Linked DNA regions of Caenorhabditis elegans. The protein of the gene in region 2 purifies or fractionates together with the protein of the main gene of each other region. This does not show direct contact. Each region holds a gene or a part of one and is shown on either strand. Other genes may lie near its edges.

Evidence for each region. The genes of interacting proteins can lie anywhere in the genome.
Region 1: the proteins of nhr-222 (region 2) and T23G5.2 fractionate together in Caenorhabditis elegans (co-fractionation; one large-scale study listed by BioGRID). This does not show direct contact.
Region 3: the proteins of nhr-222 (region 2) and his-74 fractionate together in Caenorhabditis elegans (co-fractionation; one large-scale study listed by BioGRID). This does not show direct contact.

What each region holds. Positions count from the first base shown.
Region 1 is NC_003281.10:9,230,921-9,237,873, reverse strand, and holds T23G5.2 (CRAL-TRIO domain-containing protein T23G5.2), read left to right. Parts: upstream 1-1,551; 5' UTR 1,552-1,558; coding exon 1,559-1,621; intron 1,622-1,672; coding exon 1,673-1,954; intron 1,955-2,377; coding exon 2,378-2,609; intron 2,610-2,713; coding exon 2,714-2,839; coding exon of another isoform or gene 2,840-2,850; exon of another isoform or gene 2,851-3,144; intron 3,145-3,558; coding exon 3,559-3,668; intron 3,669-4,291; coding exon 4,292-4,852; intron 4,853-4,900; coding exon 4,901-5,239; intron 5,240-5,292; coding exon 5,293-5,493; intron 5,494-5,541; coding exon 5,542-5,690; intron 5,691-6,039; coding exon 6,040-6,136; 3' UTR 6,137-6,453; downstream 6,454-6,953. Other genes in the region: T23G5.3 (uncharacterized protein), read left to right, coding at 6,664-6,798.
Region 2 is NC_003283.11:3,541,054-3,545,309, forward strand, and holds nhr-222 (Nuclear Hormone Receptor family), read right to left. Parts: upstream 2,392-4,256; coding exon 2,317-2,391; intron 2,205-2,316; coding exon 2,111-2,204; intron 1,870-2,110; coding exon 1,616-1,869; intron 1,345-1,615; coding exon 1,234-1,344; intron 1,191-1,233; coding exon 1,063-1,190; intron 1,019-1,062; coding exon 894-1,018; intron 834-893; coding exon 589-833; 3' UTR 533-588; downstream 1-532.
Region 3 is NC_003283.11:12,659,204-12,662,061, forward strand, and holds his-74 (Histone H3.3-like type 2), read right to left. Parts: upstream 1,128-2,858; 5' UTR 1,124-1,127; coding exon 842-1,123; intron 795-841; coding exon 666-794; 3' UTR 501-665; downstream 1-500. Other genes in the region: ccch-3 (C3H1-type domain-containing protein), read right to left, coding at 1-112, 159-278; W05B10.3 (Saposin B-type domain-containing protein), read right to left, coding at 2,101-2,244, 2,301-2,444. UniProt on the Caenorhabditis elegans protein: Putative variant histone H3 which may replace conventional H3 in a subset of nucleosomes. Nucleosomes wrap and compact DNA into chromatin, limiting DNA accessibility to the cellular machineries which require DNA as a template.

The DNA of each region.
Region 1 (6,953 bases), on a different chromosome or scaffold from region 2:
TCATTTGAAACAATCTAACAGACTTTTCAAGCCAAAACAGTCGTATTCTATTTATCAGTAACGTTGGTCACTCTCTGATAGAAATAGACTGATGGGTTGTATTGAATTTGAAACTGATAAGCTAGTTGAAAGATCATTTATTCTCTCTTGGATTGTTGTATTACGCTCCAAGCAGAGTTTTGATTCAATTTTCTTTTTGGATTTTCTATTTTCAATAAATGTGTCATATTGTTGACGCTATTGTATTGTTCCGATTAGAGAATATACGTTTTGAATCATATTTTCCTTGTTTTTTCTTTGTCGCTTTAACTTTATTATGTCCTTATCAATATTTACATTTTTTTAGCGGTCACCTCACTGCAACTTTTTCCTCACGAGGGACGAGGAAAAGTGGTTTCTAGGTCATGGCCGAGGGGCCGACAAGTTTCAGCGGCCATTATCTTGCTTTGTTTTCCGCCTGTTTTCTTTTGTTTTTCATCGATTTTTTTCATTTTTTCTTAATAAAACTGATAAATAAATATTTTTTGCAGATGCTAAAACAATTTCCAAGTAAAAAAATCATGTATTCAGTGGGCAAGCAGCGGTGAAAGTGGGCATTGTAATATGATGGATTACGGGAATACAAAACCTAAACTTTTTCTGAAACATGATACATATGCTGCTTAAATGCTGAGACTACCTGATTCATAAACGAGACCGCTGAAAAAGTTTTGAGGTTTCCGAAATTCAACTTTTTTGGTGAAAAAGTCGAGATTTTCGCACAAAAAGTTGAATTTTGAAAACCTCAAAACTTTTTCAGCGGTCTCGTTATGAAAATCAGCATCTAAGCATCGTATGTATCATGTTTCAGAAAAAGTTTAGGTTTTGTATTCCCGTAATCCATCATATTGCATTGACCACTTTCACCGCTGCTTGCCCACTGAATACATAATTTTTTTACTTGGAAATTGTTTTAGCATCTGCAAAAAGTATTTATTTATCAGTTTTAATAAGAAAAAACCGGGAAAAAGCTGTGAAAAACAAAAGAAAACAGGCGGAAAACAAAGCAAGATAAATGGCCGCTGAAACTTGTCGGCCCCTCAGCCATGGCCTAGAAACCACTTTTCCTCGTCCCTCGTGAGGAAAAAGTTGCAGTGCACCTGAGCATAAATCAAATCCCGTTAATCACTAGGTTTCCCGTCATCTTGATTTTTTTTTTCATAAATTTTTCTTTCTTACTCCTGTTCGTGTGTTTATAAGGTGACGTGATCTTTGATATTTCTCGTTTTGTTTGGCGTCGCAAAAAAACTTCCAAACTTCCACATAACTTTTAAAGTCTCGTTTGTAACAATTAAACACAACTGTGGACTATTATAGATTTTAGTTCCTGGTTCTATTCCTCACAATGTATTTATTTTTCTTGGCAAAAACAAAAGTCCACGGAACAGTTGATATTTTTTTATTTTGACGATCCTATCTTGGCAACCTCAGCGCACTTTTTTCCATTCGTTTTTCTTTGCGCTTTCTCTGATAAAACTTAAATTTTCTCACTAATCAATAATTTTTTTTCAGTAGAAAAATGGTTCAAACGTACAGGTCACCTGTGCGTATTTACAAACATCCGTTCGAAATTGTGATGGCGGTAAGAAACATTTAAAACAAACTTTATTTGTCAAATGACGTCATTTTTCAGGCGTACGAGATGAGATTCCCGACTTGTCCACAAATCCCGATTTTCGTTGGATCAGAAGTTACGTACGAGTACAAAAGTGTTGATGGAGCAGAATGGGTGATTGATCGAAAGTGTCAGCTCAACGTCGAAGCGCCTTACCTTGTAAAGAAAATTGCCGGAGTCGACTATGTGTATTTCTCGCAGAAGAACTCACTGGATCGTAGGAAGAGAACACTTGACATTGAGGCAACAAACATTTCATTTTCAAGCAGAATTAATGTCAAAGAAAATTGTACATATTATGTAAGTTTTTAAAAATAATAAAAACTAAAAATTTCAGAAGATAAAATATAATTATCAACATATTCCAAAAATGCCAAAAAAATTTTTATATATTTTTTGTCACGATATTTTGAATTTTTAAAATTTCAGTTTCCTAACAAGATAAATTATTTTCAACGAAAACTATGAAAAGTCGATTTCATAGTAACGAGAGTTTGAAATTACAGTAATCTTTAAAGACGCACATCCATTTCGCATTTGAGGAAAAAATGTCGTGTCTAGACCGGGTACCATATTTTTGATCCAAAAATCTAAGTTTGCGTCTGGATAATTTTTTGAAACAACATATTTTCGAGAAGAAAAACATCTGAACCCCAGCAAAAATTCATGATATTCTATTAAAGCCTGTTCTTAATTTTATTTCATTAATAATTTCGTTTGCAGGTTCATGCAGAGAACGAAAATTGGACGTGTTTCGAGCAGTCAGCATCACTCGATGTGAAAAACTTCTTCGGTCTGGAATCAGCTGTTGAGAAGCTCGCGGTTCGACAGTACGGAGCAAATTTGGCCAAGGGAAAGGAAATTCTCGAGTTTTTCATTGAAGAGTTACTCAAAAAGACTACACATATCGAACGCTTTAGAGATGCGGACCAAGAGGAAACCACGTCGGCAACAGGTTGGTTGTGAATTGACTTTATAATAAATGAAAAAATAATAATTTGTACATAGAGAGTTGCCGTTCAAGTGCTGTGCCTACTGATATTATTACACACATTTCAGATTCGGCAATCGAAATGAAAGAGTTATCAGATGGTGATGCAGTTCTTGTTAACGATAGACCACCGATGTTGGCTGCAGAGACGGATGAAATGAGGACTGCTCGTGCAACTGCCAGTTTTGACGACGGTGCGTTGTGATTTTGGTTCGACACTTGCTGATCCCTTTATTCATGTTGCCGATGTTCTAGGCACCAAATACATATTTTTATCATGTTTTAGCCTGCTTTTTTGAATGGTGTTCTGCTTCTGTGATGTTATTTCATATCTTTTAGCTCCTCCTAAATACAACAAAATTCAAATTGGCAGCATGCCGTGTTTGCATGATTATTTATTGTCGAATATTTATTATTATTAGTAGTTATTTTTTTAATTTTCCTGGTGAGTGTCGTGCCCTTCACAGTTTCAATAAAGAAAATTCAAAACAAAAAAAAATTAAGTTCAAAGAACGGGCCTGTCGAAACAGTAAATCAGAAGTGCACCACCTCCTCCACCATGCGCGGATATATCTTGTACTCTCGCGGCGCCACTTCAGACTGTTTGGTCTTTTGACTGCTGCGTCTACAAGCTTCTCGCCGTATCTCACCCAGGTGCAGCTCTTCGGCGATCTCCTTGAAGCGCGATCTATCGATTCACTAGGAACCGATCTCATCCCCTCAATCTCCCCTAACAGCTACCTTTGCAACGTTTTGTTTCCAACTTCTATCTAGAGATACACATATGCCTATATGCTTTCACGAAAATATGATAAAAGTGGAAAACGCAGAAAATCTGTTAAATTTGTAATTGGTTAGTATTAGATATTGTGCTGAAGATCCGTGATTTTTAAAATACGAAACTTTTTTTCAGCCGATTCCAAACTTGAAGCCGAGTACATAAGAAGGTTCCTTGGACAATTGAGCCCACTGGAAGAATCGCGTCTTTGTGAGATCAAGTACAGTCTTCAAGCACATCATAAGGTAATATACGATAAAATATTTTTAGAAATCTCATTTTTACTGGAAATTTGCGATTTTTGCACTAAAAATACGGTACTCGGTCTTGACACGATAAAATTGTGTTGAATGCAAAAGGATGCGCTCCTTTAAAGAGTACTGTAGTTCCCAAGTATCTTTCGTTGTGGATATTCATTGTTTGTTCAACCCACTTTTAAGTGAAAATAAAATAAGAAGAAAATCGTATAAACACATATTTGTCGTATCCAGACCGAGTACCGCTATTTTTGAGTAATAAAAAATTCCAATATTTCGCTTCATTGCAAATATGAAGTTTTTTGCGATATCTTACGCGCATGGGTCTCGCCACGCGAACCTCAGGTTACTGTAACTCTTGTTCATTTACCAGCCTCTATTGTAATTAATTTGAAAAATCTTAGCAGCAATTTCTCATTAAATTGAAAAATATCATTTCTGTGAATCGACACGAGTTACAGTGAATAACATATTTCGGGATTAAATTGCATTAGGGTCAATTTTGAAAATAAAAAAAATTTTGGGTATCGACGTGAACCTAACCCATGTATGTACATAACAAAAAAGAACAAAATAGATTGAACTTGAAATTAAATTATTTCGTTTTCCAGGGAAAACTACCGAACGATGCTCACTTGCTCCGCTTCCTCCGAGCCCGAGATTTCGATGTGGCGAAAGCGAAAGATATGGTCCACGCGAGTATCATATGGCGGAAACAACACAATGTTGATAAGATTCTCGAAGAGTGGACTCGGCCGACTGTGATCAAGCAGTACTTCCCAGGATGTTGGCATAACTCGGACAAAGCTGGAAGGCCAATGTACATTCTGAGATTCGGGCAACTTGATACGAAAGGAATGCTTCGTAGTTGTGGCGTCGAGAATCTGGTCAAGTTGACTCTTTCGATTTGTGAAGATGGTCTGCAACGAGCAGCCGAAGCAACCAGAAAACTCGGAACACCAATAAGTTCATGGAGTCTTGTCGTTGATTTGGATGGTCTATCGATGCGTCATTTGTGGAGGCCTGGAGTTCAATGTCTTCTGAAGATTATTGAAATTGTTGAAGCAAACTACCCGGAGACAATGGGACAGGTTCTAGTTGTTCGTGCACCTAGAGTATTTCCAGTACTTTGGACTCTAATTTCACCATTTATTGATGAGAAAACAAGAAAGGTAAGGTGGAACCGTCTAGAATAAAACTAATAATTATTTTATATTCAGAAGTTTATGGTCAGTGGTGGAAGCGGAGGTGATTTGAAAGAAGAACTCCGAAAACATATTGAAGAAAAGTTCATTCCTGACTTTTTGGGTGGATCCTGCCTCACAACAAATTGTGGACTTGGTGGACACGTTCCAAAATCGATGTACCTTCCAGTTGAAGAGCAAGAAGGTGCCAGCTCATCTGAAGATCCTCTTCATTCCACCTACACAAGTACTGCAACCTGGAGAGGATACCCAGTGGAAGTTGTCATTCCTATTGAGACAGCTGGCTGCGTGCTTACATGGGATTTCGATGTGCTTAAGAATGATTGTGAATTCAGTCTGTACTTTTCGACTGAGGTAAATCTACATTATTTATCATTCTCAATAATTAAACGTTTAAATTTTTCTAGAAAATCGAGCAACCAGCAGTCCGTGATGGAGCTCAATCACCAACAACCATTCTCAATCCAGTTGAGATGGTATCTGCAGCAATCGGAGGAGCATCTCATCAACATCCCGATCTTCAGTGTGCTCCTGAACTTAAAATTGGAACACCACAGCTACGTCTAGAGGAAAAGGCAGTTGTATTCCAGGAAGGAGATTCTATGCAGGTACTCTTAAAAAATATAAAAAATACATTTAAAAATGGTATTTTTTAGGGTTCCCACTATTGCTCACGAGCTGGTACATATATCATGCAATGGAGAGTCCCTGAAACTGCAGCCGGCCACTCATCAACCTTTGACTTTGGTTCTCACAAATGTCGTCTCATCTACTATTACGAGATTTTAAACTCTGAAAATTTCCGGTAAATTCTTTACACATTTATTACAGTTGATATTATGGAGACTCGAAATTTTGCGATTTTTGCGCTTAGAATACGGTAGCCGGTCTCGACACGACAATTTTGTTAAATACAAACGGGCGCGCCTTTAAATAGTACTGTATCTTGAAACTTTCGTTTCGGCGGAATTTAAGCAAAGAAAGTTTGAAATTACAGTACTCTTTCAAAGCGCACATTCTTTTTTATTTAGCAAAACACTTTCGCGTCGAGACCGGGCACCATATTCTAGGCACACAAATTCGCAAAATTTTTGCGTCTACATAAAACGTAAACTATCCATTACAGTAGCCTTATTAATGCAATTTGTTTTCAGAGGATCCGTTGCCTCCCTCGAATCTTGCCGTTCATCATCGTTCAGTTCAATTGCTCCACCAACGCCACCAACTCCAGGAACTCCCCGCAATCCATAAACATCATTTGTAAAATTCAAAATTTTATCCGACCCTACTCGTATTCTTGTGATTCGTTTTCCTTTCTTCTGTACTACTTCCCATTCTGTCTCTTCTTTTCTTCTGCTTTCAAACATGCAAACACCAAATTCCTTATTATTTCCTTTTTCTTCGTCTACAGTCCCAAACACGGTTTTTCTCATTGTCTCCATTTCTATCATATTCCTTCATTTTACTACTTTTTTGATGTAATTTATTATTAATTTCGAACTTTTCCTCTCTTAGTTCACTCTTCATCCATCAAATGCCGAGCAATTGAGTATAAAGAAGTTTTGTACAAGCCAAAACGAGTGAGGCAAAGGCAAAAGAACAATGATTTTCACACCCCAACACAAACATAATCTACACTCCAATATTATATATTGGACAAATAGCGCCCACTCCAAGAATGGAAATTGAGCTGGTATTATTTGTTAGTCGCTTTCGGTAGAATACCTCTACCACTTTTTGAATTCGCGCGCACCTTTTAAGTGGTTAATTTCTCTCTAATGCCACCTCCACCATTAATATCGCTTGATGTTGAAGGTGTATATTTTAAGACAAGGATAGCTACTTTGAAATCTATAGAAGGAACTTATTTTACTAAATTATTCGAAACTAATTGGAGGGAGCAGCTTGATAGAGTAAGTCTAAAAAAAAAGTTGTAACTTACAAAGTTTAAAGCATTTGGTAAATTGCCAAACTTCTTAGAATTTTAGAGCATTGCTGCAGGTCCCTAACCTCCTAGAATGTCCAAACACAAATGATTATTGCCATGTTGTTGAATTTTGTGATTACT
Region 2 (4,256 bases):
ACTGGCGCTACTCCACCTTTAATATTAATCAAAATATCAAAATATATTGAATAGAGCAATTTTGTTTTCTAGCAAAAATATTCAATTGCTTAAATAAACTGTAGTCTGCTGGAGCCTCTGAACGGAAGGGGCTTAAGGTCGTTGTAACTTATCACCAATTTGAAAATGATCTCGTCTGAAATGGGCTGAGAGTTCAAGGAAATCAAGGTCTTGCAAATGGAAAATTATGTTATGTCAACTTAATAATATAATTCCGTTTATGCAGCCCGATAAAAAATGAAAAGTTAATTATCGACGCCGCCCATTTGTCTGTTGCAGAGCAGCTGCTGCCAAATGAAAACTCGGAATTTTGTTAAAGAGTTCCCTCGCACTTCCACAGAAAGATCTGAACTCATGAACTCTGGCCAAATGCGAGGCGAGACTGTAGAAGTGCGAGGGAACTCTGTGGCAAAATGTTGAGAATGTCCAGAAATTTGAGATGATAATTTCACTTATATAATTGAGATGATAGTTTCACTGTAAAATGTCTCAAAGTACACACTTCATCACTTAAATTTTCATGGATGGAACCATTAAATGTAAAAAAATTCATATAATATCTGTGAATAGTTTTTTACACTCTGAAGTTTTCAAATAAAATTTTACAATTACTGTCAGGCTTTGAATATCTTCAATGTTCTTGTTCACAACATGACTTAGCGAGAGGAGATCCACAAATTTGGTTGGGAAGTTTTTTTGGCAAGTTATTTGGCAATGTTGAAAGAGGCAAGATGTGTAGCATATTCTTAAGGGGGTTAGGATCGATATAGCATGTGATGATAGCCCGGATATGGCTGAAAGTTTAGTGTTGGATTATACGGTAATTCTCCGAGCTTCTCGTTTTTTATACCTACCTGGGTCGCAAAAAAGTATAACCGTAACCAGGAGGAACTCCTCATCGGTGATCTCGAGCTCTATGAGCTTGCTAACTACTCGGCTGCGTATTTGGCGAATAAAGCTCAGCGACACGTTGAACAGTCTGAAATTATTTGATCTCCTAGGATACTTTTTCGTTTTACTTACGTGCTCATAAGATCTGGTACTATTTCATGGCCTCCTGGAGTGGTCAAACGGTCATTATTCCCGCGTACAGTTCTCAGTGAGTTGAATAGCAGTGTGGCTTTTGCAGAGAAATTTTGCAGCAGAACCATCTGAGTAAAAAGCTTGAAGATTCTGGCCTACTTATCGTGTAACCTTATCCGAATGCTCCAATTTTTCCATGAAATCCAAGTTGAGCAGGAATTCTATCGTTGTGTACATCGTGAAAAACCTCCAATCAGCGTCCGACATATCATAGGCGGAACTCTGAAAAACTGTAGAGGTACTAGAAACTCGTGTAACTTCTGGAGAGTTCTGGAAAATATTGAGAGTTCCGATAAGGGGAGTTATATAAGACATTTTAAAACTTTCTGGATATTTCTGGAATTTTTGAGAAACCTCTGAAAATTTCTGGAAGTTTACAAAAAACAGAGATAAATTCTTGAAATGTATACGAAACTTTTTGAAACATTTGTGAAGTTGTGAAACATTTGATAAGGTGCAGATTAAATATTAAAAATTTTAAACTTTGACTTACTTGGTCAACAATTGTCAACTTTTTTCTCCTCGCCACATCTTGCAATTTTGGATTTTCAAACGAAAATTTGTTCAGCAAAACTGTCATTCTCCGAGCATTCAGGTACGAGAGTTGGCTCAAAATTGCCACCAAAGCATGTTCGGAATGAGACTCGATTTTTGGAAGAGTGGATGGTCTTATGAACATTCCAGTGTCCAGACATTTTTGAAATCGACAGGCTTTGCAACGGGGCACACGGCGATGCTCTGTGAATTCTGAAAAAAAAATTTCTGGTTTTTTTTGAAAATTCAAAATGACTTGGACTTCGTTATGGCATTTTTCAAGTACTGGACTGTTCGGAATTTGAAAAAAAAAAATTTTTCAAATTAAATGAGCAATTTCTTATCGATTTTTCAATGATGCACCCAGTTTTATTTGTACAACATTTTTCAGTAATTTCCCCATTAACTTATTCCAAAATATTTCCAAAATACTTTATTCCAAGGTTGAACTCACTGTCAAAGCACCGTTTTTGATAAATACATTCAAATTGTAGGTCAAGCATGATACATCGACGGAAAAACATTTTACACGCGTCACATGAGAAACTCTGAAACTTATTTGGCAAAAAAATTAGGAATATTTTATTCAACAATTTATTATCGTTTTTTTTTCAATTAAATTTTCTTTTCAATATTTTCCATTAAACCTTCTAAACTTACGCCATAATTTTGTCCAAAAGCTGGGCGTTGACATATAGAGCATTGTTTTGAAGGAGAAGTTAGGCTGCACCGCATTTTAAATCCGCGTGGCTCTATTTGCTCACAAATGAGATAGAAAACAGAAAAATTGTAAGATTAGAAATCTTGGGCGGGGTATGCGGTTCTGACTCGAATGTGATGTTATGGGAACATATTCTATGCACTTTTAGATTTTGGTCGAAAACTGCAGCTGACAATGAGTTGTGTTGTTTTCTAGTAGGTTGAAAATGAAAGTTGTGAAATCAAATGTCTAAACTTTGAAAAAAAAACAGAAACCTTTGAACTTTTGATTTCTTGACCATTTTTATGGGCTTTTGGCATTTTTTTTTCTCTTTATTTAGATGTGGACCACGAGCAATGGGGCCATGATTAAACCCCATTTATATGATGCTGAAATGACTGAATATCATAATTAAATATGTTTTAAAGTTTTTTTTTTTAGTTTCGAGACAAAAAGAAAAAATAAAACTAAACTTTTGTGTAAATAATACATTAGCTAATTTCCGTTCAGCAGATATCTTACAAGTTGCCTAGAAGCTTAATTGTACAACCCAAGAACACTCCAAATTTACTCAATTTATACTCCAAATTTTCAAGCAAATTGTGTTTAAATGTATACTAAAAACAAATGTTCAAGTATTTTATCATTTTATTTAAAAAAAAAACAGCTCGTTACAAATTGGGATATGTTAATGGTGGCGCTACAATATTTACATCTCTCATGAAAATTCGAAAAATGATCAATGTATTGATTAAAAATCCAAGATTTCTGGTGAGAGTAGTGATTGACGAAAATGTTTGATAATCAACAGATTCAAACCAAAAAGTAGACAGAACAGGTATAAGATTAAATAAAATAAGAGTCGTCGAGTCGAACATAGCTATTTGGGTAGCCTGGAATTATTATACATAATTTTACGTTAATTTTCTATTAAAGTCAACCTACTCTTGAATAAACTTGAGCCGATTGATTTTGTGCGAGGACAGTGTAAACTACAAGCTTCACTGATAGCAATATAGTCAAAGCTACAATCATACTGAACACAATTTGTTCATTTTTCACCCAATACATAATGTAGCACTCATTAAAAGAGCAAAGAAAATTGTCGCAATCAATGGGAGTATCAATAGTATTCTCACAGTATCCAAACATGATAAATTGATCAAATAATATCAGGAAAAAAATAAAAATGTAAATGGAAAACAATCCAAAGAAGTTAAAAATAAGAGACTTGTACGAATAGTTCCAAACATAATATTAGACCACATTGAGAAAAATATAAAATTTTTGACGGCAAATATGTTTGAGGCTATAATCGCCAATATATACATTTTGAATATACTAACTGAACCAAAAATTAATTCGGTAGATTTTCGGTAACTTACTTGAAAAACTGTATCCAATATCTACAACAAATCTTGTATAAAAAAGGGATAATTCTGATTTAAAAGTGATTTTTTTGAGGCAAAAAATTGCTAATAAAAGGATCAAATTGAAGCATATATTTGAGTAACAAACTAGAATATTTATCATAGAGTTAATGATAATAATAACTGACATTAATACTGATTTTTTGTACTAGCAAGAGCTAAAAGTCCAGTTCTCAAGTATTGAAACAAATATGTCTAGTTTTTTCTCACGATTTTAGAGACTCTCGTAGACTTTGTTTATTAGTATTGTCTGTGAAAACTGAAAATAAAAAAAAAGTATAACATCTTAAAATATTCAATTATCTAGCTTTTCTCACGATTTCATAGACTGTTACGTAACTGGTTATGACTGTGAAAATAGGAAACATAATGTTATTGTTAGGGACAAAAAGATAATAATACTCAACTTTTGTGTAAATAATATATTAGTTAATTTCCGTTCAGCAGATACCTTTCACGCAGTTGTCTAA
Region 3 (2,858 bases), 9.1 Mb from region 2:
CTGATTCGCCTTCAGAATCATCCGAATCACTTGATCCTGCTTTATCATCGTCACCACTGAAGAAAAATGAAGAGATTGTTGGCTTTTCATCAGATTCCGCTATTTTTTCGCTCTGAAAATGAGAATTGATCGCGGAATTTTTAATAGATAGAACTAACCTCTTCTTCTTTTTCTTTCTCCGCGTTTTTCGTCGTTTCTTCTTTTTCTGTTGTCGGTTTTCCAAAGAAATCATCGTCTTCTCCTTCGCTGTCAGATCCGTAAGCCACGAGCGATGTCATGTCAGACTCTGAAAATGAATTTTTAAATAGAAAGAAAATTGAATTATCACCGGAAAATTAATATGACTCTTCTAACGTAAATCCACTCTTTTTTAAATTGGAATGAACCACTACTGACGCACTTATCGTGTCTGCCTGCGCCTCCACTCGTGATACACTCTTAAAAAGAATCCGTTGGCGAACTAGTAACCAATATATTGCAATACAATAAATTTTGCAACAAAAAAGGAACGCAGGGTTTATTCGATACATTAAATCGATAGAAAACAGGGATGAGAAATGTGCAGGTGTGATGAGAAGGACGTTGCGGAATTTCATCAAGAGGCATAATATTAATACAAAGCGGTAAAGATAAAATAATTATTCGGGCAGTAATAAAACAGGGATCTAGCTGCGCTCTCCACGGATGCGTCTGGCGAGTTGCATATCCTTTGGCATGATAGTGACTCTTTTGGCGTGGATGGCGCACAGGTTGGTGTCTTCGAAGAGTCCAACGAGGTAAGCTTCGGAAGCTTCCTGGAAAATTATTTTTTAAACTACGTTTTGGATTTCAAAATCGTTACCTGAAGAGCTCCGATAGCAGCTGACTGGAAACGGAGATCGGTTTTGAAGTCTTGCGCGATTTCACGGACAAGACGCTGGAATGGTAGCTTGCGAAGCAGAAGCTCTGTAGACTTTTGATAGCGTCTGATCTCACGAAGAGCGACTGTTCCCGGACGAAAACGATGCACTTTTTTGACACTTCCGGTGACAATGGCCGACTTGCGAGCCGCCTTCGTCGCCAGAGCTTTTCTGGGAGCTTTTCCTCCAGTCGATTTGCGAGCGGTTTGCTTGGTACGAGCCATAGTTCTGGAAATATTTAACATTAAAAGAAAGAAACAACATTGATAAATTGTCAGATGTGAAATTATGAAGAAAAATTATGATAAATTCAACGGAAGAGGATCCTTTTCAAGTGTTAACGCACAAAATTGACAGCATTGGAAGATCACAATTTTTAAAATAAAATTAATTTGAAAAAAACTTTAAAAATTACTAAATTTCAATAGAAAAACAATCCCCAAAACAAAAATAATAACAAAATGCGCGATTAAGATTGAAGAGGGTTACGGTAGCAGTGGTGTTCTGTGTGTGTCGCTCGTGTCGGGACCCGGCCATTCTTTTCGTGGTATATCAAATGCGGTTTTCTTTCAAAATGCTTTACAAACAATTGAAAAAATACCTTATGTGAAAATATTACTTTTAAAAATAACTAAAATTGCCTTAAATATTTAATACTTTTTTAAAATTATCTTCCTTGTCAGGTCAAAAATAAATGCATTTTTGAATTTTGCTCTTATTTTTTGATCTTCTGATTTTGATCACTTGCTCAAAATATGGCAAAATCTTTTAATTCGAAGTTTGGGGGGAAATATCTAAAATATCATTCTCTGTTCGCAGACAACACTCATTTCATAGTTTCGTTTTATTCGGCTCGATTTTTTTCAAAGAAGAGAGATTTATAGCTTGGATCGAATTCATTTTTATTAATTTGGCTGTAACAATCGTTAGTTTTTACAATAAAGTTGCAAATTAAAACACCATTTCAATAGTTAATAGAAGGATATGGCACCAGAAGGCCGTGGAAGCTCTGAGAAGGTTTTTAAAATATTGGTTACTGTACTTCTCTAAGTGGACCGATTTTTTTCATTCGTGGCGAGACCGGACATCGTATTCTCTCGCAACTGGGTAATATTCCCTGATTTCGAGACGGTGCTTGACATGGAACGAATATGTGTAAAATCAATCATCATAAAATTTATATTAATTTTCAAAATTTTTCTCAGCATAACATTTTGCATGCCTGCTTGTGAAACTCAACAATATGTGGATAAAGAGTCGAGTATTGATCCCAAAGATTCATTGAGTCAACGAGGTCTCGACACGGCCAAATTAAAGCTTTCGGGAGACGATTGCAACCTCCTCGCTGAAAATTTGTAGAGGTTATTTACACAGAATGCAGTTTCAAAGAGTTCTTCTTACCAAATACTTAGACATATTTAACCAACTGGTTGGGACAATAAACCAATGATCATCGCAAATCACACAAGGTTTTATATTCTCGAATTGAGCAGTAGTTTTTGAGACAGTAAAGATACAAATAACAAAAAACAGGTTGAGCTTCATAGTGAAGCAGAGAAATAAGAGAAAATAGAATTTGGAATGTATAATATAGGAAATGTAGGTTCTCAACAGTTTCATGAGAATAATACATTTTTCTCATAGTATTAACAAATTCTTCAATTTCTTTTGTCGAGGTATCAATAGAAAAACTATATTGCTTGGAAAGTGTAGCAAAATTAAAATATAAACTAACTTATCAATTTCTGTGTAAAATTATAAAATTTGATTTATACGATTCGTTTGTGCAATGACAAAAGGAAATATACTAAATGACCAACACATCTGGAGGTTAAGTCATTATGGAAAACACATTGAAGTACTAAAGGTGAGAAAAAAAAGCCGGATATTACGAGCTCACAACATTTCGAGCCAGGATACTGTAGCTAATTGTTATGACGTGAGTTGGTCAAAACATCT